Linked DNA regions of Rhinolophus ferrumequinum. The protein of the gene in region 2 interacts with the protein of the main gene of each other region in a pairwise test. Links are inferred from orthologs where the notes say so. Each region holds a gene or a part of one and is shown on either strand. Other genes may lie near its edges.

Region 1 (7,612 bases), on a different chromosome or scaffold from region 2:
AAGGGGAAAACGGTACGTGCTTGTGTATTTCTGGGAGGACACATGTCAGGAGAAGCAGCATATGGAGGACGTGCCTTCTTATCATATACCTTTCTATATTGTTCCTTTTTTTTTTTTTTTTTTTACCTTGGGAAAAGATTACACATACAGGTTTTTGTCCTGAATTTCCTCGGAATTGCCTTTCCTGTCACAGCTTTAGCACCATTTATTTCAAGAGTCCTCAAAGAAGTCTGGTCATACAGCACTAACTGTAGCTTAGCCCTTTTTGCTCTGTTGGTTCAGCAAATATTTATTGAGCTTTTACCAAGTAATTGGGCTCTACTCCCTACAGAATGTTTTTTTTTGCTCAAATGTTTTCCCTTCTCTTTTTCGTTTTCTGTCTGTGTTCTTCCTCTCCCGTTTTTTCCCCCCTCGCCCGCTTGTCTTCCTGCGTTGGATCCTTCCAGGAGATGTTGCGTTCCCCACTGGTGTTGGCAGAGCAATATTTTTCCTGACATCTTTTGTTATATTATTTTTAATCCCCTAGGTTCACATCGGTGTCGTCAGACAATCAGTTTTGCTGTCCAGAGAAATGATGGCAGTGCTGGGGGGCATATGGCAAAGGGGTCATGAGCGCAGAGCCCCGGCTCCCCCACACTTTCTTCACAATGGTGGGGTCGAGTCCTGTTCTAAAGCATCATCCGGGCCCTGTCTGCACAGAGCTCACTGTTTCTGATGTGTTTTTTTTTTTTTTTTAATGTCCTCTAAAACCTCATCTGGAATGGGACTTGCTGGGAATTCAGTTTGTAAACAAGGGAAGAAAGCAGTCTATTGTCAGACATGGTGACTTAAGATCATCTTAAAGGATTTAGGCTTCCTCATATCACCAAAAGCCATGTGGGTTTCAATCCTTAATGTCGATAGGAATAGTAAACACAATTGGTGGGAGAAGAGGTTTATAAGTCAAAGATGATAAACAAATCTCTAATACAATAAATAATGCAAATTCTTTTTACCAGGTATTGCTTGGAATAAATGTAGCATCACCAATGCAAGAATTTCCTAAGTAGAAGTACACTATGCCTTCAGTAACAATTCAAATGGTACAACTTGCTTTTTCCACTTGGCAGTATATCTTAGAGATCTTACTATAGTAAGATCCGTATTTTAAGATTTATCTTGTTTCTTACAGCTGTGTGGTATTGATACAGTCCTATCAATGGACACTTACTATTGTTTGATAATTTTTGCTATTAAAAATGATGTAGCAGTGAATACATGTTATTCCCATAACATGTATCTTTGCAGCTTGTGTAGAAGCATCTATAGGACAAATTCCTAGCAGTGGAATTGCTCAAAGAGGGACATCTAGCTTCAGAATGAGAGCTGACCTTTGGTTGGAAATGTGGAGATAAATTATAATAGAACAAATATATAAATTAGGTTTATATGTCCATTTTACAGAAGGGTAAACTTGAAAATTGCATTGCTGCTGCCTGCCAGATGAACTGAAGATCATCTGAGTCCAAACCTCTGCTCTTTACCATCATTCTGCCTTACAGAGCCCTTCTTAGAAGGCATCCCTTGCCAGGTTATACAGAAATGGACATCCCATTTGTGATAGGTAGGAAGCTGTGCCCATTTCACATCCCTTCCGAAGGAAGGAGTAATAAAAGGTAGAATTAGGGGGAAGAAATAAAGAGGTTAAGAAGGCTGCCAACCAGTTATTGATGACGTGGGTTTTGTGGACTTGATTCTTTAATCTGTGATAAACAGAAGGCATAAAAAACAACAAAAAATAACTACAGACTAATTGGAGACCTGAATTCAAGACCTACAGGAATATTAGTGTTTGGGGTATATATTAGTATGTGTTGCCAGACAAGGTCCAGTGCCTTTATCTTGGGGCTAGGAGTCCTCCCAGATCACTGGTCTCGCTGTTCCCATTCCTACCCTTTTCTGGGCTGCTAATGCCTTCCCTCCCCATACTAGTAATATTACTGACAGATTATACCTTCTTTGATCTGCACCTTAGAGGCTGTTGCCATTCACTGAAGATGGATATACACTCAATTCAAAATAGAGACAGCACTTATGAGCTGTCAAGTGAAACATTACAACAGAGTTACTGCTGAGTTTGTGTTGGCTGGTGCAACCCTGATGGTACCTAGGAACAGATCCAACCACCAGAGAACTGGAGCTAATTTTCATTTAATGGTGTACCAGGGTAGAAGAGGTGGTGGGCTTGTTCCCAGAAGGTCTCTAAAATGTAAGGATGATTACCAAAGAGTTGGAAACCATTTTTGGTAGCTACAGGCTGGTAGTGGACAGGGACCAGGATGGGAGAAATGATCTGATCGGTAGAGATAATATAAATATGTAAGCTATTTTACTGGGACGTTGTATCTGGTAATGTTAACAAGATAAGTGGTAGGTAGGATAATTTCTCATCAAATTGGAGAGAGATATTTATAGCCTGTTTCTCATTATATAATGAAAAGCTACTAAAGGAAAAGCAGACAATGATGAGAGTAATAGATTACTAACTGTCACTTAAGTGAGTTCAGGAATGACAGCTTTCTTTCATGCATGAGGTACTGTATACTTTTTTTAAAAGATATGACATCAGATTGTGTTCATATACTAAACAAAAACCATAGTGCAGTATTTTATTTATAATACTATACTAGGAGAGTGTGTGTGTGTGGTCGAGGTCAAAGATGAGTTATTCGTAATATACCTTAGAATTTGCCCTTCAAATACAAAATCACTTCGCCTCTTAACTCAAACCACCCATCAGTTCCCTTTCACTAGTCTTTTTTTTTTAAGACAAGCAGGTGGAATAAAATCTACAAGTCATTACAGTGGCCTTTATTGTTTTAACCTGTTCCTTGTTTCGTGCCAACTACTTCCTAATAAGACAGCTGTGCTACCCTGTCTTCATCTAGATAAGCTCATCTCATTTTTACCTGAAATGGTTGCAAACTCCCAGATATGCTAGATTTGAAAAAACTTGGATCTCAGTGAGTAATCGCATCTCAATTGGTTATGAGTGGTATAGATTATTTTTGGCTTCTTTAAAGTTCAAAACTGTCAGTAAGCAGGGTTAACAGCCCATCTGAGGATATAAAGGACATTTTCACAGACTGGTGTTTAATGAATGAGCAAAGGTAAATTTAATTCTTTTTTTAAAGATTGAATTATTTAAACTAGATGCTTATGGGTTTTCCTGTATTATAGCTCTTGTCTCTTACCTGTAAATTTAAGATCTTGACAACTTAGATTGAGCTTTGCTATTGTGTCCTAATAGTTCTTTCCTTAAGTCTGAGTGAAAGCTATAGAATCTCAAAAGGTAAAATATATTCATGGGAAAACATCCAAAAATGGATAACTGAGATTTACTTTCCCAAGATCATGATCCTATTGAAGAAAGGAGGTAAGGATAACTGCTGTTGAGTAGTTCTTCCCTCCATAACATGCTCTTCATCTGGATGGTGTGCCTGGGAGGGGACAGAGGAGGCAGGAAGAGGATATCCTGCAGGACCTCACATCTGGAGCTTGCAGGATTGCCCTTGTAGGTGATAGTAAACCCAAAGCAAGTCATCGTAAGCTCTCATAGCAACACCTTTCACCGGTGTTAATGAAAACAATGTGTTACATGTACAAATAAGTGCTTGTGGTGCTTTTCACTATTGCTAGCAATTTGTTTAAATAAAGACTCTGAAAAGAACCTAGCCGGTCATGCAGGAGGGAGTTAGATGTTGCCTGTGCCCTTTGCTCTACGTGGGACTGGAATTGTAAGGAAAGCCGTCTCCTGTTCTCCACACCCACCCCATCCCACCCTCTTGAGGGACAAGGTTAAGCTGGGAAACACAGATAACTTGTAAGCACCCTCAACTTAGCCTTGGAAATACGTAAAGTATAAAAGGTGGATGGGGTGGGGCTGGGTTCCTGTGCCCTTCTGACCTTGTCCACACACAGGTGGCATCATTTCTACCTGTCCCCTAGACTAGGGAGACAAGACTCGGGTTTGGGTCTCTGACAGCTGTTTGGCAATGAACCGTGATAACCTCATTATACCCACACCCACTTCTGGGAAAGTTGTTGTTTTCTGTTTCAATTCACATATGTAATTTTCTCTCAAACGAGATCCCACGCCGCACAGTTTTGAATCCTACCTTTAAAATGTGATATCTGCTATGTCCAAATATTCGGTGTGTATGGGGCGGGGGAGGGGGGTTTATAATAGGAGTGCCTATAATTTAAAACCAGGTTTTGCTACTTTGCGTCTCAGAAAATGCGGAAATCATCACCACTCTGGTCCCCTCCCCATCTAGCGGCTCTCTCGGTGGTCCACCTGCAGTTCCCCGGATGCGGTCGCGCCGCGTGAATTCGCGCCCAGGCTCGGAGCGCGAAGGTCTGCTCCCACGTGGCTGGGAAGACTGCTCGCAGGTGGACCTGCTGATCCCCGCCCCCTCCCCCACCCGCCCACCGCCCCTGGCTCCGCCCCACTCCCGCCCGCTCGGCGCGCATTGGTGCTGCCGGCTGTCAGTTCCCGCGTTCTGGGGAGGGGGTGCCGCCAAGACTGCGGTCCATCTGTAGAGGGCTGCTCGCTCCCGGTGCGACCGTAGCTTCCTGGCTGCCTAGGTGCCCGGCCCCGCGAACGACCCTCAACCTGGGCATCATGCACCCCCGGTCAGTGACCTCGGCGGCCTCGGTGAGTGAAGGAGGGCGAAGGGGTTGCGGGGAAAGAGGGTGCGGGCCAGTGTCTGATCCACTGACCGCCTGCGCGGCGGGGTGGGCCGAAGGGTCGGCTGGACCCCCGAAATCTGCGTGACCCGGAGATGGCCGAGGTAAGACCCGCGAAGGTCATTTGTCCGCAGGTATCTCCTGTTTGCGCGACCCTCATCAGCTCTACCCACCTACCCTCCTTAGCCTTACAGTTCGTCCTAGAAGCATGGGTTGCTGATAGATTTCTCCTTCTTTGCCCTTTATTTAAGGAAATGTGATTTGGGGTTTCTGGCATTGTTATTGTGCAGATAGCTTGAAGCTGGGTTATCTGTTGCACGCCCCCGGCACTTTCCTTTTTGAGTACTTTATCCTGCGCTCTAGCTCCTTCCATAAGAAGCATCAAGCCAGAACGAGAGACGTCTTCCTCCAGGAGGAAGCTTCGTGGTCCACATCGGGTGCTGGGAGAGTCACTGCTTTCCTCGGGGAGTGGTTGCTCTTTGCTTCCGTGCTTCTCTGCTCAAGGGAAAAGGGGAAGGGGTATTTTCTATGGCATTACACTTGCGATTGATTCTGTGAGGAAATGACAACAGGAACTTGAAGATTCCTGAGGCGAAAAAACTACCCTGGCAGGCTAAGGACAAATCATTTGCAGTCTAACATTTTGCAAAGTTTTAATGTCTACAGACTGCATTTTCCCATTTTAGTTTATTGTTTGGTATTTGTTTTATATCTACAGTGTGGTAATCGTTCAAGTGAGCTTTTCAAACAGTTGTCTTTGAGCAATTCATGTTAGTTTCAAATGATACATTCCTAAACGTGATCTAATTTCACTATTTCTGTTAATTATACATCCTCCAGTTAAAAGTTCTCAGGTGCTGATAACTCACAAGAGGGGAGAAGACTTAAAGAGAGGTATAATCAGCTGTAGTTCTGCTTATGGAAGCATTACATGAGGAGGGACACTAAAAGTGTTCCATATTTTAGTTCCATCCTTGTTTTAGGATGACTTTGTCTTTCGGCCAGAGGCGTGGTGTATGTAACACCCAACCTAAGGGAGTATTTACTTAGATCATAAACCAATTTTCAGAGTTCCAGTTCCTTCTGTGGTTCATAAAATCAAGAGCTACCCAAATAAACCTTAAAAAGTGAACGATTTACAGAGGGGGAAGTACAAGAACTGAGCCCTTTTGTTTATTTTAGGACATCGATCAACTGAAATTCATAGGGTTTTTATTTAGACGATCACCTCATCTGTACATTGGTACCATCATACCATTCTGTGGATTAATTTTTAAATATACTTTTGTATTTATATATAACAGTTTGCCAGTTGTGCAGCTTATCATTTATATTTGGCTTTCAAATTAGTTCTAAAACCAAGAAAATCAAATATAAGGAATTTCAAAAGCTTGATTTTAAAATAGCAAGAACTCAGCCTAATCTTGATTCAATTATAAATTGACGGGCTACATTATGGTTAAATAACCAACCATTCAGCCTTTTTAAGATTTTTGACTAGTGAATCTGGTGCAGAGTAGCATCTCCAGACAATTCATTTTTCTGATGAAACTCTTAAAACACAGTTTCAGAGCATGGGCTTCAGAAACAGAAATAGCCAATCTTGGGTTGAATCTGGCTCCGTTACCTACTAGTTGTGTAACCTCTCTAAGCCTCTTTCTTCATTTGTAGATGGTGATACCACCACCTTCTCATTTTGTGATACTGTGGGGAGGGTTGGAGATGTATGTAAAAGTGCTTGGCACTGCCAAACACACAGAAGTTGCTCAATAAATGGCAACTATTATGATCATTCACTCTCACTGACCTTCAACTATGTGCTTACAAAGGGAAATGTTTGAACAGCAAATACTTAGAAAAAGATGTCAGCATTATACAACTAGATTTAAGAGTGGAGAAAGACAGCAATGTTACATTTCCCCAGAGTATGTATGAAAAGTAGCACTTCACCTCCTTGACGGAATGTACAGTTCAGAACAGAAACCTTGTGGTCTAATGGAAAGGACATTGGAGGGTCAAGGTCTTCAGTTCTAACTGGGGCTATGACCTTATCTAACCGTATGGCTTTCAGCCGGCCAACAGCCCATTCTGGTGCTCAATTTCTTCATCCTGACTGGATTTGGTTAATCTCAATCTCCACGATCCTTTGTAGCTTCAGAATTCTGTATTGTATGTAATAAAAATTACACTAACTTGCTTATCACCTTACATTCATTGTTTTTTTGTTGTATTTTGTTTGTTAACTCACAATTCAGAGTCACTCACAATTCATAAAGACAGCACAACTCAAGAATTGGTAAAATACCAGATTTGCAGAAAAATTCAAAATGAAATTGTAACAGAGAATAGAGCAAAATACATTCATATTGAAATCTTTCTGAAAGGGCAAAAGTTAACCCCAATTTTTATTCTCCAGTCATTTTCAGTAAGTTATTATATGGGAAACATGTCTGATATTACATACATTCAACGGAAGTAGTCTCTATAGAAAACAATAGACTGATGATAGTGAAATAAAATACCACTTTCTTTTCTCTCATCAGGTTGATCTTTAAATAAAACAAAAATCTATCAAGTAAAGGGCTTTCGTGAAGAAATTAAAGAGATAAATAACAAGTAATAGAGAAACCAGGCATTTGTATACTGGAGAAACCACCTCAAACAACTGTATGGAGTAAAACGAAAGGAGTGAATACATCCAGAAGTAATTTTGCTTAGTATGATATTTTTGCCCACTTTTCTTGTCATCAACAGATGCTAAGGAAGAGAGAATATCATTTTCTAGAAAGAGAAAAAGTGTAACATAAAAATGGAGACCACAGTGTCTGAAATTCAAGTAGAAAGCAAAGATGAGAGGGGATCAGCAAAAGTTAGTCCTCAGGAT
Region 2 (7,999 bases):
TTGTTGAGCACCCTACTCTGTGCCCAGCAGTAGGATATGAGATATACAAATATAAATAAAACAAATATGAATAGATGTTTATTGAATCCAAAAATAATGATCACCCATAGTCTAGCTAAATTTTATATAAAATATATCTTCTCCATATTAAACTTAGCATGTAATTCCATAAGTTATTGTTTGGTTCCTGATGGAAAAAAATTAAATTTATTCCTGAATACATTTGGTATAACACATTTTTATGTTCTTTGAGAAATAATTTCTAAATGAGTAAAACTGCCTTCTGAAAAAAACCAGGCTCAACAAAATTTCAAGAGCAATGCAAAAGATAAACAAATAAGAGTGCTTTAGTTTAAACCTCAAATAATAAAATCCATGATGACTAATATATTTCATAGTGCCTCTATAGTGAATAGTGTAGAACTCGACATGTTAGAAGTGGATGTCATGGGAATGAACTCTACGGTAATAAATCAAATTCTCATACACAGCCATGGCCCCACCAGGATTGGCTGTCTAGTCTGCAGGTTCTTCAGCACTAGGCTCTACTAGCTCAGGTGAGAATACTTGTAGGTCAGACATAATGTCTACCATCACTTACTCAGAGCAAAGAGCATCCCTCAGAAGAGCCAAACCCAGGAGTTATTTAACTCTTAATATCAAAATGCTAGTAGTCATCCAATAACTAAAAGAAAGTCTAAAATTTCAAAAGCAGATTATTCTGAAAACAAGACATAAAAATACAATATCTTTAATTCATAAAAAAATGCATCTAGCAGAGTACTTAATAGCACACTAAAATTTGCACCAATGCAAATTTGCACCAATGGAGATAAGCTGTGACTTGGAGCATCTGAATGCATAGATGATGCTGAATTTTCAATATTTTTTTCCACACTTATTTATCTTCATAATTAGTTTTGATGAAGTCAACAGTAAAATTAGTTTGTGTCTCCAATAGTGAGAGCACCTTACACCTAAGTTTTTGCAAAGGTAATATGTGTACAATTCTCGTATAAGACTTTGAGACTGTGAACGAAAGAATTAAATCTTTGAAACTTTTACTATATAAATTTATGCATCATCTAGCACACTACCTTGTACAGAACAGGTGTTCAAAACACAACTGATAAATTAATAATTCGTTTACAAAAAAATCAAAACTTGATGCTCATAGACTAAAAGAAATAAGAATATTTTTAGTCTGATAGTCTGTTATATAACAGGTACACAATACATTTGGATTTTACTTTTTGCACTAACATCTTAGATAATCTCTGTGTATTAATTTGGTAATACTAGCTAGCCTAACAAGCATATCCCCAAATTTCAATGGAGAAACACAATACAAATTTATTTCTTTTTTCATGTAAAGTCTAAAGTAGATTTTCTTGTAGGTGAGCATCACTACTTTACGTAGTAATACAGGCACTTAGCTCTTTCCATTTGGCATTATGCCCTCCCTGGGCCCTAGAAGCATCTGCATTCAGCTAAAGGATGGGAACCCAGAGGCAGGAGAATGCTTGTCTACTGCTTAACTGCCTTGGCCTGAAAGTGATAAAACACTTCAGCCCACAGTCCATTGAGCAGAACACGTCACATGAATCCATTTAAATGCAAGCAGGTGCAGGCCAGGAAGTGGAATCCCTACCTGGGCAGATGTTTCCCAGAGAGAAATATACAAAGGAAGGGAAAATACAATTTTTTAGTAGACAGCAAGTTGTAGTTTGCCAAGGTTCTTTTCTTTTCCTTTCTTTTTCTTTATAAGCAGAGGGCCTTATTAAAGTCATCATCCAAGAATTGCAAGTTCTTGAAAATGTAGATTCCAAGTATAAAGCAATCTTATGCAAGTATAATATAATCAAAGTCTGCCTGGGCAGTCTAACATGATTTAAAAAAAAAAAAAATGGCAGTAACAGATAGGATATCTGAAAAAATATCTGAATAAAAAAGATAATTTGGCCAGTTCAGCAGGCAAGGTATGAGGACATAACTAGTCCGTAGTTAACATTCTGTTGGCTAGTTTTCCTGACAGTAGGGTCCACTTTCGTTTAAGAAGATGTAGCAGTATGGAACCATACACGTGCATTAAAGGAACCTGATGATCATAAGATGTGTTGTAAAGTGATTATGATTCATAACTCTTTTTTCTACACATACCTCAGCTAGGAGGTGTCCTAGACTTGTAGCGGACTGAAGGGTGTGCCTCAAAGGTGTGCCTTTATTTCCTATCTGTATCATACAACTTTTTTATGGTGCTGACATTTCAAGTCTCTGATCTTGGTTCAAAGATATTTTTCCTAAACCTGAAAAGTGAGTCCAAAAAATGGTGGGAACTGCATCTTTGTTTGCCACATGTGGGAGAGAACATTGTGGCACTGGAAGTGAGCATTGCGGGGCATGGTTTCCTGGTCTTTCCTAAAGTAGGCCCTCTTCTTCACCCACAGGTCTTGACATCCCTGACTGGCTCTGTGCTCTTTGGCCAGGGACCAACTCCCCATGTCTGCCTTAGCAACTAGCTTTGCCCATGCTCGGGAGACTGTTTCAACAACCCCCCCTTCCTTAGATGATACAGTGACCTCTCAGAGCTCATATTTTTATGACAGTTTTATTGGACACTAGGCTTTATTGAAGGCAAGGACCATTTTTAAACACCTCCTCTTCCCTCCACAAACACCCCACACATAAATTACCTACCACAGTATCTGGCATATAAAAGGAAAACAATACATATTTATTGAATGTACTGTCTGCCTAATTACCACACACTATCCTGGAGTTGTAAATTGGGCATCGGAGTCTTGGAGCCAGTGGCAGCCTCCCTGAGCCAGTGGGACACACCCTGCATGGTCTCCTTTTAGGATAGGCCTTCACAGAGGTTCACGTGCCTTCTAGAGTGAGCTCTTATTCCTCGCAGGCCACTCTGCTCAAGTTATACTCCAGCGCCATCAGTCAATCCCAACAATTTATCAAGTTTGAACTTTAACGTAAAGCCTGCTAGAAAAACACTTATTCAGGTTCCATCTCCTAGCTTCCTGAATCTTTTATTAGGCCTTTTACTGGGTTCATGGTCCAATTCAGAAAACAGGAAAAATCAGATATTGAAAGAATTTGGAAATAAAACAGGAAGGGTCAAGGGTGAGAAATTTATTCAGCTCTTTTCATTATTCCCAAAGAAGCTCCAACCCTCTTGCCAGTCCTTGGTGCTGAGGTTGATAGCAGAGAGGGGCTGTGCGGACCTGCCCTGGCAGAGGGAGACCCATTCCTCGTTCTATGGCGAGGCAGTAGGTCAGAAGGAGCGTTTGGGCCACTGTCACCGTCTGGCCTCCGCCTTGAATTCCCTTTTTGCCCTCATTACAACGGGAGGAACCAGAGTGTGGATCCACCTAGGGCTTCAGGGTCCTGCAAGCATTGGGAGCATCAAATAGGTGTCCGGCAATTGGAAAAGCAGGGAAGGGAGCTGTGGTCCCGACCAGTGGCTGCGTGCGCGTGTGCGAATAGGGAAAAGACGCCCGTCTCCGGAGTTTCTCCCGCCCCCTCATTTCTTTCAGGAGTCCAGCAGGGCTGTCCCCGGTGACTCAGAGTTGCCCCGGGGTCATTTGGACTCCCGTCCCATCCTCCTCGGATAGCCCGCTCCCGCATCCCAGAGTGCCCCGCACATTCCGCCACGTCCCCGGCCCGCGACGCTCAGGAGTGGCCGGCTCCTCAGGAGGTATGGAGGCAGGGGTAGGAAACATGAATAAGCACCACACCGCCCACACAAAAGCCCCAATAGCAAAAACAACTGTACACGCATCACAGGCGGAGCACGGCTCCCCCAGGTAAGCTGTTTATTCGTCACCGTCTTGGCGATTCTCCCTGGGCAGCTGCGGCAGCGACAGCAGCTGTGCGGCGGGCCGCGGAACTCCCCGCGCTCTTCCTTCCTCCGCCCTCTCTCCGTCGCTTCTCACTGCCCCCCTTCCCTCCTCTTCTTCCCTCCTCCTTTCTTGCCCTCTCGCAGGCCACGCACACACGCGGAGATACTCTCCGCACTTGGCTCCTCACACTGCGGCTTAACCCAGCCCGCAAGGCACGGTGGCCAAAGCGGCGCGGGGGTGTGTGCGGGATCCAGGGGCGGAAGCCCAGTGGGCCTGGGGTGGCCTGGTAGAGCCCCTCGCCTCCCAGCCGCGACCCCTGCCTATTTTCCTTCTGTAATCCCGGCCTGCCAGCAACAGTGACACCTGAGCAAGGACTGGGGCAGGCCCGCTGGACTGACTGGCAGCTGGGAGAAAACAGAGCGGGGGGCGGGGTCCGCAAGGAGGAGCGGGAGGCGGGCGGAACCCGGGAGCTGCCACCTGGTAGAGAGTGACGTGCCTGCCAGCCAATAAACGCCCACAGCTCCGACGTCGGGGCGGGGAGCCGGGAGCCGGGGGCGGGCTCCGCAGGGAGGAGGAGGCTGCCGGGGCGCTAGAGGCGGGGGCCTGGAGGAGGAAGGGGAGGAGGCGGAGGCGGGCGCGGTGGCGGCGGCCGAGGCGGCGGCAGCGGCGGAGGAGGGTAGCTTGCGCCCGGGACTGTGTCTGCCGAGCTCCGCGGCTGTGTGTGTGTGAGTAAAGGAGCGGCGCGGGTTGGCAAAGGCGAGCGCGGGCGAGCGCGGCGGCGGGACGTCTACGGCGGCCGCGGATCAGCGGCGGCGCCGGGTGTGGGAAGCGGCGGCAGCGGCGGTAGCAGCAGCAGCAGCAGCAGCAGCAGCAGCAGCAGCACCAACAGCAGCAGCAGCAGCAGCAGCAGCAGCAGCAGGACCGGCGCCTCTCCGCCGCCGGGGACGCCGAGGCGCGGCTGGTGGCACTGACATCGGCGGCCCTGCCTCTCCTCTCTCGCCCCCGGCCCTCCCCATGTGATCGGTCTTAATCCCGGCAGTGTGCGCGCGTGGGGCTCCATTCCGCGGTGCCGGGTCTCCGTGCCAGGGTGGGTGCTCGTGTGTGCGCTTGTTCTCCCCATCCCCCTTTCCCAAGAATAAAAGAAGAACCAAGAGGCGCGCTTAGAAAATAAATAAATAACCACCACACACGCGTGCCCGGAGCGGAGTCGGCGGGGCTGGCGGCGGCGGAGGAGGAGTGAAGGCGGCGGCGGCGGAGGAGGAGGGACGCGCCGAGAAGGCAGTAACTTTAAAGCCAGCTCAGAGCCCAGACCTCCAGCCGAGCGGTTTGCAGCGCGGCGGCAGCGTTTAGTGTCTGGCCCGCCGGTCTGGTCGGGGTGTACAGTAGGACGGACGAGCAGCGCCTCGCTGTCTCCCGGCGGCTGGAGATGTCCGAGCCCAAGGCAATTGATCCCAAGTTGTCGACGACCGACAGGGTGGTGAAAGGTAAGCGGCGCGCCGCGGTCGCCGGGGTGCACCGTGTGCCGCAGGCACCCGGGCGGCTCGCCTCCCCTCCCCCGCCCCGGGTTCTCTCCGCGCTCCAGCCACGGACCTTCTAGGATATTGTGCAACCCTCGCACCCCCTCCCTCCCGCGCCCTTCCCCCACGCCTCCCACCCAGCCCTACTTGGGGCATTTTTATTTATGGGGGCGTCAGTTGGCAAATGGCTGAGCCTCGGGGAGGCGGCTGCGGGGGTGGCGGGGGCGGGAGGGGGCGCCCGGGGGGTGGTTGCTGGCTGGGTGTAGCTGCTGTGACAGAAATAGGAAGTGGGTGGCTGCTCGCAGGCTTGCATGGGATCGGGTTTATGGTTTTCTTTTGCAGAGGGAGGGGTGATTTATGGCTTTTAAAAAATTAATATGGCATTTTTATGTGGTGGAGGCTTTCCACCGACTGCCTGGCTCGGGCAGGGTTCTCTCGGTGCTCCATTGCAGCAATTCCCTTCGCGCCCCCTCCCCCTTCCCCTGAAAGGGCCTGCACAGGACTCGCGAGAGAGCGGGAGAGCGTGGGGGGAGCCCTGCACTCGCTTCCGCGTGGGGCGGGGGCGGCCGCAGGCGGAGGGGGTAGCGGAGGGGACACGCTGGGGGCGAGGGAGGCCGGGAACGACCCGAGAGCCCTGCCACCTCCTCCCCGGGATTCCCCTGCAGGCCCTGAGAAAAACACGAAAAGCAGTTCTCCAATCTCTCTCGCCACCCCCAGCCTTCCCCCGCCGACCTGTCATTGCTCTTGAGTGGTTCCCTGGGAGCACACCTCCCCAATCGTGAACTTGCCACGCTCGTTTCCCTGTGCCCCTGGCACCCCCCCGCTCTTTATTAATGGGCTATTTGATTCTCCCCGGGCGGGGTATGTTATACTCCTGGCGGGGATGGTTCTGGGATTTCTGGCGGAGAGAAGCCAAGATGATGAGTGGGGCGAGGAAGGGGACAGATAGTGGTCTCTTTCTTTTTGGCACGAGGGAATCCGCCGTACTTATTGTATTTCGTGGTGGACTCCAGGAGGAACCATCCTACGAATCCTGGAAGGATGAGACAACAGGGCAGATCCGCCAGGATTAAGTAGTACCCCTCATTCCTGGGGTCAGGACACTGGGGCAGAGCAGAGCTGGGCATGGACTAGGAGCAGAACTGGCCTTCGAAATTGGAAACCACGCTGGCTGGCGGGTGTGTGTGTTTTCTGTAGAATACAGATACTATCTAATGTGGCCAGAGCAAACAAGTAGAGTGCAAGGCAGTCAAGTCTTTTGCATCATGAGCCTTTTAGGTGAAGTAACCCAGCAGCCTAAGGACCATGATAACAGAAGTCATTCTGGGGCTTCTGAACTGTTCATTGCTCTATTCAGGTTTGTTCAGTTTTTAAAGTGTGTGTTGCGTGGTGATGGGGGAAATGTGGTCTCCTTTTTAAGAAAGAGAGAATAAAATATTTTGTTTTGGTTGTATTAGAATCAGTCCTGCTTCAGTGCAGTCAGTATTCATAGACCATCAAAACTAGGAGAACATATCTCTGCAAAAGTGACTGGAAATAGGACTACAGATGCACAGCTATTCTTTCTGCAGGCATGGGCCCTCCTTTAAACAGTCGATTCGTATTCATTCCAAAGAACTGTATTTATATTAAAATCTTCTGTTGACATATTAAAAAATTAAGACCTTTTACTGAAATACCAAAATAACAAATCTCTCCCTAATGTGTGAAGTTTAGGGTGTAACTCTAATCTGTAGGTTAAGATCACCTATTTTCAAAACAATGTAAAGCTTACAATTCAAATGATAGCAATAAGTGTGTCAGCAATTAAAAAACACTCGTGCACACACGAAACTAGGTTCTCTGTTTTAAATCACAAAATTATGGGTTCTTACTGTAAATATAAAATTGTCACCAAGTGAAGAATGTAAAAGTGACTGTTCATACATTCAGGCTCCCAGTCTTTACCATTTAATGTGAAAGAGCCCATTGAACCATTCCTTGGCTGTTTTGTCTTACTTTTTTTGACAATGCTATATTATACTGTGTTTCCAAGAAAATAAGACGTAGCCGGATAATTAGCTCTGTTGAGTCTTTTGGAGCGAAAATTAATATAAGACCCGGTCTTGTATTGTATTATATTATATAAGACCCTGTCTTATATTAAAATAAGACAGGGTCTTATATTAATTTTTGCTTCAAAAGACGCATTAAGCTGATTATCCGGCTAGGTCTTATTTTCGGGGAAACATGATATATATTATTATAAATGGTTTTACATTGTAAGTACATACACTATCCATAATTCCAAAAATTCGGTTTACATATTATTGCAGAATTGAAATGCAAATATGAGTAATAGGCTCAAAATAGGAAAAGTTAATTTTGCATTTGTTTTGATAGGGTGATGTGAAATTTTGAATGTGAAATTTCTTTTCTAGAAAAAAGTTTTAATGAATCCTGATTTTTAAGGTGGACAACTGTCACTATTTCTCTTATCCTTTCTTGTAGACTATATTGTTGGCCTAAAAGCTTTATCAAGTATTGGATTCAACATTTTGTCATACACATAATTTTTACGATTAATTATTTGAGATGATAATCTATTTTGATGATTAGTCTACTATGAAATGGTTCCCTTTGACT
Region 3 (7,530 bases), on a different chromosome or scaffold from region 2:
TAGTTGCCCTTTGGCCCCCACTAAGCCTCAGGCCTGCCTGCCTCATGTCCTTCAGGGCTTATAAAGTTTTGGGGGCCAACCACACCTGTCGGCCAGTGATGTCTCAGCTCTGCCCCTCCCTTTGCTTCCCCTGGGCCCCTCTCCTGCTGTGGCCCCAGAGTGGCCACCCACCCCCTATCATCCATTATGCCACGTTTTGGCAACTGAGAAGGGGCACAAGTGAGAGGGGCCATGCAGACAGAACCAGCCTCTCCTCTGTTTCTGGGCACAGCAGCCTCACAGAGATATTCTCTCCCCTGCAGCTCCCCTGGGCAACTCCACTAGTTGGGCATTTTGGTGGATGGCTTCGAGAGTGGGCAGTGGCACCTGCGTCTTTTCTTAGAATGAGGCTGGTTCCCTGATCCCCAGAAACCTCCCGAGGACTTGCAGTTAGTTCTTCATTTGCTCATTCAAACCCCCGCTTTGTTCTGCAAGGATGTGTGGAGCACCCGCATTGTGCTGGGCCCTGTGTCCCATGCTTGGGGTGACGGCCAGCAGCGGGGACCTGCTCCCTGCCCTCCTGGGGCTCACCTGCTAGTGGAGAGACAGCCCTTCAGTAATTGCACCGATGGACCCACGGCAGGCTGCAGTACCCCCAGTGGGGTTCCAGACTGGCAAAGAGACACTTGCTCAGAGCCATGAAACAGTCACTGGGCAAGGGTGGGGGGAAGAAAGGACATTTCAGGAGGAGGGAGCTGTTTTACAAGCCTGGTCCCTTTCTGCCTTCCTTGGGCCGCACCCTGAACCCAGAGACCCCACAGCACAGGGTTCCTCCTGATAGCCACCCGGCTTCTCTGCTCTCTCCAGGCCTTCCTCACAGGCAGCTTCTCAGAGTCTCTCTGTCCCCCTTGTCTAAAAGGCTAGCCCCCCACCCCACCCTTTACAGCCTCCTACTCTGTCCTATTTTTCCTCCTTAGCACTCAGACTCGAACATCCATGAAGGGCAAGGGGTTCTGACATCTCGTTCACTCCCCGTATTCTCAGCCCCTAGAACCGTGCCTGGCACACGGTAGGTGCTCCGCCAATGCTGGAACTCTTGTTGAATTATGCACTGGAAATTGCTCTCCAAACTGTTAATCTCCAAGGGAAGAAAAGGGGTGGAACTGCTCTAATTACTTACTCCTCTCCTACTGCCTCTGCAGACCAGGAGTCTCTCAGCATGGTGATTGGGCTGAGAAGGGAGAGCATTAGGGGACACATGTCAGCGGCCTGATTTCACGTCCTTACACACACACACCCGGGGCCCACACCTAAGGAAGCCCCACCTCCAGCACCTGTCTCTTCCCAAAGCTCCAGGTGATTCTGATCACAGGCAGGTAGCAGGGCTGCTGCCCGGGCTTAGTCTCCCCGTTTGTGGGTTTAAGGCTGATCCCCCCTCCTCTTCAACTGCTGCAGCTGCTTCCAGATGGGTGGTGCAAGGTGAGCCCACTGAGCTGGACTGTCCTCCCAGGGCGTCCCCACCACCAGCTTCCCATTGCTCCCACCACAAAACCAAGGCCACGTTTTCAGGGGATGGGGCACCTCACCTGGCTGCCAAGGGGCAGGGTCCAAGGGGCTCTCTTTCTCGCTTTTCTTTTTATATTTTGGAAATTTTGAAACACATATAAAAGTAGTGCGGATAGTATAGCGAACCTCCACGCACCAGTTTCTTAACTTCAACAATTGTGAACAATTTTTTCATTCTTGTTTCATCTCTCCCCTGCCCCCACTCTTCATTCTGTCACCTTTTTATTTTCCTGGACTCATTTAAAGCAAACCTAATGTTATGCTAATTCAGTCATAGTACTTTTCCATATGAATCACGAAGGGCCTTAAAGATAGTTATGCGACTATCACATCTATTAAAATGAGTAATACTTTTAAAATATTATCTAATACCCAGAGTGTGTTCAATTTTCTGCTGTTATCTCAGAAGTATCTCTTTGTAGTTGGTCTATCCAAATCGAGATCCATACAGGTTTCCCATACTGCACTTCATTGATTTGTCTCTTCAGTTTCTAGTCTTGCAAGTGCGCCCTGACTAGCTTCGAGGTTCTCCGTGGTAGCTGCCTATGTCCTGGGAGCTTTCACAAAACACCCATGCCTGGGCCCTACCTGGACCAATTAGGTCAGAATCCTTGGGGTGAGCTGGGCCTGGATGTTCGCTTTATTCGTTTTTATTTATTTATGTGTTTAGCTTCCTGCAGTGATCCTGGCATGCTGCCAGGGCTGGGAACCACTGGAACATATGTTGGGATTCTCAACCGGCAGGAGCGATTGTGCCCCCAAAGGGACATGTGGCAAAGTCTGGAGATGGTTTTGGTTGTCACAACTTGGGGAGGTGGTTGATGCTACCAGCATCTGGTGGTTTGAGGCCAGGGACCCTGCTCAACATCCTATAGTGCCCAGGACAGAGAATGATCCAGCCCCAAACGCCAAAGTGACTTCATTGAGACATTCTCATATTGAAGCACAAACCCCACCGGTCTGAAGGGGTGGGGGGAGGTGTGGGGAAGGAGGCCAGGTGAAGGGAAAGCAAATTAAACTGCATTCTTTCCATTCCTTATCTCAACCCCATGTAGTTGACAAAAAGAATCCTGCTAGGTCTCCTCTCATTAGTCTCCCCTCCCCGCCAGGTTAGGATTGGGCCCAACTCCCCTGAGATGGGCGGCTCCTCTCTTGGCTTGAGGCAGGAGAGCCCAGGAGTAGAGAGGATGGTGCATATCAAAATGTACCACTAATGGCCTGGGTGACCTGTCGACTTCCCTGTGCCACAAGTCCCACTCCTGGAAAATGAGAGAATAACTGTCTGTCCCTCAAAGGGCTGTTCTGAGCAGGTGGTGACATCAGGGTGCATGCATAGGTATCCTGCTCACTGTGGTACCCAAGTTGCTAGCACAGAGTAGATGCTCAAAACTTTTTGTAGAAATGAATGAGTCCCTATTTCTCCTTGTGGAAACCAGGGCGCAGAGATGGGCTGATCTCACAACCAGCGCACAGCACTCATCCTGCTCAAGGCTTCTCAGCCTTTAGAAAAGGTCCTTCTCCACCCTTCTGGAACAAGTATGGGGATGGCTGTGCCTACCATCCCCAGGGGCTTCCCCCACACCTCCGTTGCCACTTTTAGAGGAGACGAAAGGACACAGGACCCTCAGTAACCCACTTTCCCTCCAAGGGTGGGGAGTGGGAATAGGTGGAAGGAACATCCTGCCTCTATCCCTACCCCCTTCTGTCCTTCTCTTCAGGGAGGACATGATACATTTTCTGCCCGTCACTCTGGACTTGATATGGGCAGGGGAACAAAGAGACTGCAACATCTTTAGGGATGATTCAAGGGGAGAGCACAGCTAGGATGCTGACTCTACTTCCTGCAACTCAGTTCTTGACTGCAACTCAGTTCTTGACTGCGTTCACCAAAGGAATGTCACTGTCCTGCTGTGTGACTCAGTTTCCCCTTCTAATTCTCCAGAAGGACGCAGAACACCTGGTGTGGAGACCTGGTGCGTGTAAGATGGAGCTGGTACAACAGGCTTGTGACAATGACAGGAAAAACACGTGGTAGGGGATCGCTTTTGTTCCTCCAGGCAAGCAGGATACTGCCTGCAGAGGCCGCCTCACAGTGGGAGCCGCCGCCTAAGAAACCCATGTGGATAAAAGGCCCTGCACCCACACCAAGGGGTCTGGGGAATTGCTCCCCGCTAGGAGGTATCAAAACCCTGAAGCCTGTCCAAAGGTCAAGAGACAAGTCCTAACACCCCCATTTGGCCTGCACCCCCATGTTCCCCTCACAGAAGTGGGGTGTGAAAGCACGTGCAGAGAGCGGAAGGGCAAGACCCTAACACAGGGAAGCTGCATTTTGATCACGAGGAGCATCTGAAGCCCCACAGCTCTAGCGACAAGATGGGGAAGGGGCGCACTGCTTACGTGACCCCAAGGCCCAATGTAGGGCTGTGGGGCTGATGCTGGCGAGATGGGGGACGTCTTGCCTCCCCTCTATGCAGCCAGGCAGTGGGGCGCACTCAAGCATGGGTGGTCCTTCTTTTCATCACCCAGGGCTGCGATGCACAGCTTCTGGGAGCTTGGCACCCAGGTTCGGGGAGGGGCGCGCGGTGGAGAGCCCCCCGCCGCCCTGGACCGCGGCCCAAACTTTCCCCAGGTTCCTCCCGGGCCGGGGAAGAGGAAACTGAGGTGGGCAAGGGGAGGCCGGTGGCGCGGGCGCCGGGCACGCCCCGGGCACTCTCCCCAGAAAGGCGGCGGGAGGGCCCTGCTCCGCCCCCGCAGCGCCCCGGCTCCCGGCGGGTGCGATCCGGCGCCTGCGGGCAGGGCGGGGCTGCAGTCAGCACCGCCCCGAGGGGCCGGGGCCGGGGCAGCGGGAGGCGTGCGCGAGCGGCGGTGGCACGGTGCGCCGGCCGGGGCGGAGCGGCCCCAGCGCACTGCCCGGCCCGGGCCATGACCCCCGCTGCTCTCTCTTGCAGGCTCGTCGCCGCGGCCCCCAGAGTCCGGCTGCCGCCGCCGCCACCTGCGCCTGGGAGGGCCCTGTGCGCCCGGGGCGCGGCTCCGCAGTGAGCCCAGCAGGAAGCGGTGAGTGTCCCCCGCCACGCGCCCCCGGGTGCCTGGACCGCGATGCCCAACCCACCCCACTCCACCCCTTCCACAAGAAGGTGCTCTTCCCGGGAGCCGCAGCCCGGCTCAGCGGCGTCCACGCCCGCAAGCTCCAGCGGCGGGAGGGGCGCGCTCCGGGGAGGCTAGGGGGGCCCAGGGGCGGTAGGGGTCCCTCACGGGCCCGGGCGTCCCCCCAACTTCTCGCGGACTTTTCTGCGGAGACCCAGGTTTGGGGAAAGTTGGGCCCTCTCTGGCCGTGTTGTAACTTGCACCCGGCGGGTAGGGGTGTGTCCCTACGCGTGGGACCTCTGGCCCCCCACTCTCCACCTGATCCCCTGCGCTGTCACGAGTTCCTTGGGAAGGGAGCAGACCGCCATTCTTCAAAGCTGGAAAGGAGCCCGGCCGGGGTGGGGGCAGGAGGCATCGAGAGGAACCATTTCCCCTCTATCGAGTATTTAAAAATATATTATTTATGAACCGCCTCACTTAGGGGCCCCCTTCGCTCCCAGGGCATCAAAGCAGGTTTGCAACCGCAAAGGCGATCAGTGTGAAGGCACGCGCGACTTCTCCTGGCCCGCTGAGCTCAGCAGAACTGAGGGGAGGCGTTCTTTACAAAGAGGGGGACCCACAGCCCCACGGGGCCGCGTGGTGGTCGGGGTACCCGGCAGTAGGGCCTTCTCTCAGACGGCCCCTGGCTGTTAGGCTTGATAGAATGGAGAGAAAAGTGTGCAGGCCGAGCACCCCTGAATCACTGAGGAAGAGGGAGGAAAAGGAGTTGAAAGGCAGCCAGGAGAAGACGCTTAGAAGGTAGTGCAGCCTTTGTGGAACAAACATCCCATTTTACAAATCAGGAGCCTGAGGCTCAAAGGCACTCCTGGATTGGCAGGTTCTGGGGTTTCCTGTCCAGCTCACAGAAGTCCTCGGGAAGCCCCTGTTTGGGGCTGGATTAACTCTAGAAAGCACCCCCTAACCTGTCCAGGCTACACCTACCTTGGGTTCTGTGTCCCCACCTCTAGGTACTCCTTCTTCTGGATGGGAGGGAGGCCGTGTATTTAAGGAAAGACTTAATCCCTCTGCCAGCTCCAAGGAGGATGAAAGCTCTGCCTCCTAATCTCCTATCCCTGAAGCCCTTCCCTTGCTGGTGGGGTCCCTGCGCCCCAGCTTTAGCTCACGTCTGGAGACTTCAAATGGAAACTCCCCTCAGTGGACACGAGAGCGATGATATTTAATGTTTAATGTTTCGTGTGCCAGACCCTGCACTACGTGCTGGTGCCAAACACCCGCATTTTCTCTTTGCATCCTCTGACCCAATACTGTTATATCCCCATTTTACAGATGAGGACACAGAGGCTTGTAAAGGTAAAATGACCTAAGGTCACAGGCACAGTGGCAAGTCCAGGCCTTAAACCCTTACTCCTCACAGTGAATTCCTCTTGAATATAGCAGAGGCCAGGCCTCTGAGACCACCAAGTACAACCCGCCCCCCGCCCCCATTAAAAGATTTTTAAGATATATGCACACAGTTATATGTACACACCAGGGAATCCCCAAATCAAGGAACCCTCTCTTGTCCCTCCTAGCCACGCCTCCCCTTGTGTCCCCTTGAGCCAGTGGGGCGTTCTGTGTCTTCCACAGGCACTGCCACATTGTAGTTACTTTTTATCTGGTGCAAAGAACACATTAGTTTACTTTCATCTTTGCAGGGGATGAGCTGTCAAGGACTCACTGCTGTGGGCTGGTAGTTTGTGACTCCTATCTTCAAGGCTGCGGTAAAAACAATTGCATGCTTTTAAATTAAGCCTGTGGTTAATTAACCATTCACTTGACTTCTAATAGCATACTCCTTATTTTTAAATGCCCATTTCTCTGGACAGGTACCTTGGAAAGGTGCACAAAGCGTAAGCATTGATCTTGATCATACGGGAGGCTGAGAGGAGCAGTGGGCAAGTAGTTTGCTCCAAGTCCCTGGGCCGATCAATGGGAGGCCAAGGCTGGACCCCAGGCGGTCCAGAGCCCTGCCTGGTGACAGAGAAGCAGGTGGGGATTTCAGTGGGCACCCTGCTCCTACCCCATCCCCATCTTTTTTCACTTCCTGTTGGTGAGTCCCCGTGGACCCTGCAGCTGCCCTGCCTCCCAAGAGGAGCTCACAGCCTCCTGCAGGTCTGTAGGCTCAAGCCAGGGAGATGCCCCTGTTTGCCCTCTGTGTACCAGGATGGGAGACATGTTAACGCTTGTAGCATCTGTTTCCAGCACAGTCCCTTTGGCTGGAATTGCAGGAATTCTAATCCTGTGGCAAGAAGAAAATGCCTTTTCTAAAGAAGGAAGAAAACCAAGATTTGCCGTGTGCCTCCTGGGAGCCCGGCAGGGTCAGCCCCTGAGTACCTTCTTCCCTGTGTTTACAGGAGGGAAATAGCGAGACAGCTTGCCCAGACTGCCCCAGCAGGGAGTGGAACCCCATTCCATCTAGTTTGGTGGGTCCACCCACCTTGTCAAACTGTCAAATTCCTCAGCTGTGATTCTTCACTCCCGCCCCATCCTTGGTCCTCAAATGAGGTCTTTGTTAAGGAAGTAAGGTGAGGTGCCATGGTGAGTCATGACCTCCAAGGGGTTGTTTTGATTTCATCTGGGAGGTGGCTGTAAAGAGACCAAGATCAGACTCCTAGCCTGACCCTGCCTTTCACTTTCCCTCTCGGGGCCTCCATGGCCTCATCTGGGAAACCCAGGTATAGAAATAAGACAACCTCTGCATCGGGTTGCCAGATTAAGCAAATAAAAACACAGAACGCTCAGATAAATTTGAATTGCAGATAAAGGATGACTAATTTTCAGTATGAGTATGTCCCATGCAATAATTGGGCATCCTGTGTTTTATCTGGCAGCCTTTTACCTACAGCCACTTCCAGCTCTAGA

The links.
Region 1: the proteins of PPP3CA (region 2) and AKAP5 interact in binary tests that used the Homo sapiens proteins (3 or more experiments, as listed by UniProt). The link is inferred for Rhinolophus ferrumequinum from reciprocal best matches to the Homo sapiens genes PPP3CA and AKAP5.
Region 3: the proteins of PPP3CA (region 2) and C15H16orf74 interact in binary tests that used the Homo sapiens proteins (3 or more experiments, as listed by UniProt). The two-hybrid records come from large-scale screens. The link is inferred for Rhinolophus ferrumequinum from reciprocal best matches to the Homo sapiens genes PPP3CA and C16orf74.

The regions. Positions count from the first base shown.
Region 1 is NC_046289.1:31,412,303-31,419,914, reverse strand, and holds the start of AKAP5 (A-kinase anchor protein 5), read left to right. Parts: upstream 1-4,559; 5' UTR 4,560-4,696; intron 4,697-7,271; 5' UTR 7,272-7,537; coding exon 7,538-7,612. UniProt on the Homo sapiens protein: Multivalent scaffold protein that anchors the cAMP-dependent protein kinase/PKA to cytoskeletal and/or organelle-associated proteins, targeting the signal carried by cAMP to specific intracellular effectors.
Region 2 is NC_046288.1:52,516,729-52,524,727, reverse strand, and holds the start of PPP3CA (protein phosphatase 3 catalytic subunit alpha), read left to right. Parts: upstream 1-4,899; 5' UTR 4,900-5,283; coding exon 5,284-5,341; intron 5,342-7,999. UniProt on the Homo sapiens protein: Calcium-dependent, calmodulin-stimulated protein phosphatase which plays an essential role in the transduction of intracellular Ca(2+)-mediated signals. Many of the substrates contain a PxIxIT motif and/or a LxVP motif.
Region 3 is NC_046298.1:30,897,618-30,905,147, reverse strand, and holds the start of C15H16orf74 (uncharacterized protein C16orf74 homolog), read left to right. Parts: upstream 1-4,402; 5' UTR 4,403-4,599; intron 4,600-6,323; 5' UTR 6,324-6,389; intron 6,390-6,494; 5' UTR 6,495-6,597; coding exon 6,598-6,657; intron 6,658-7,530.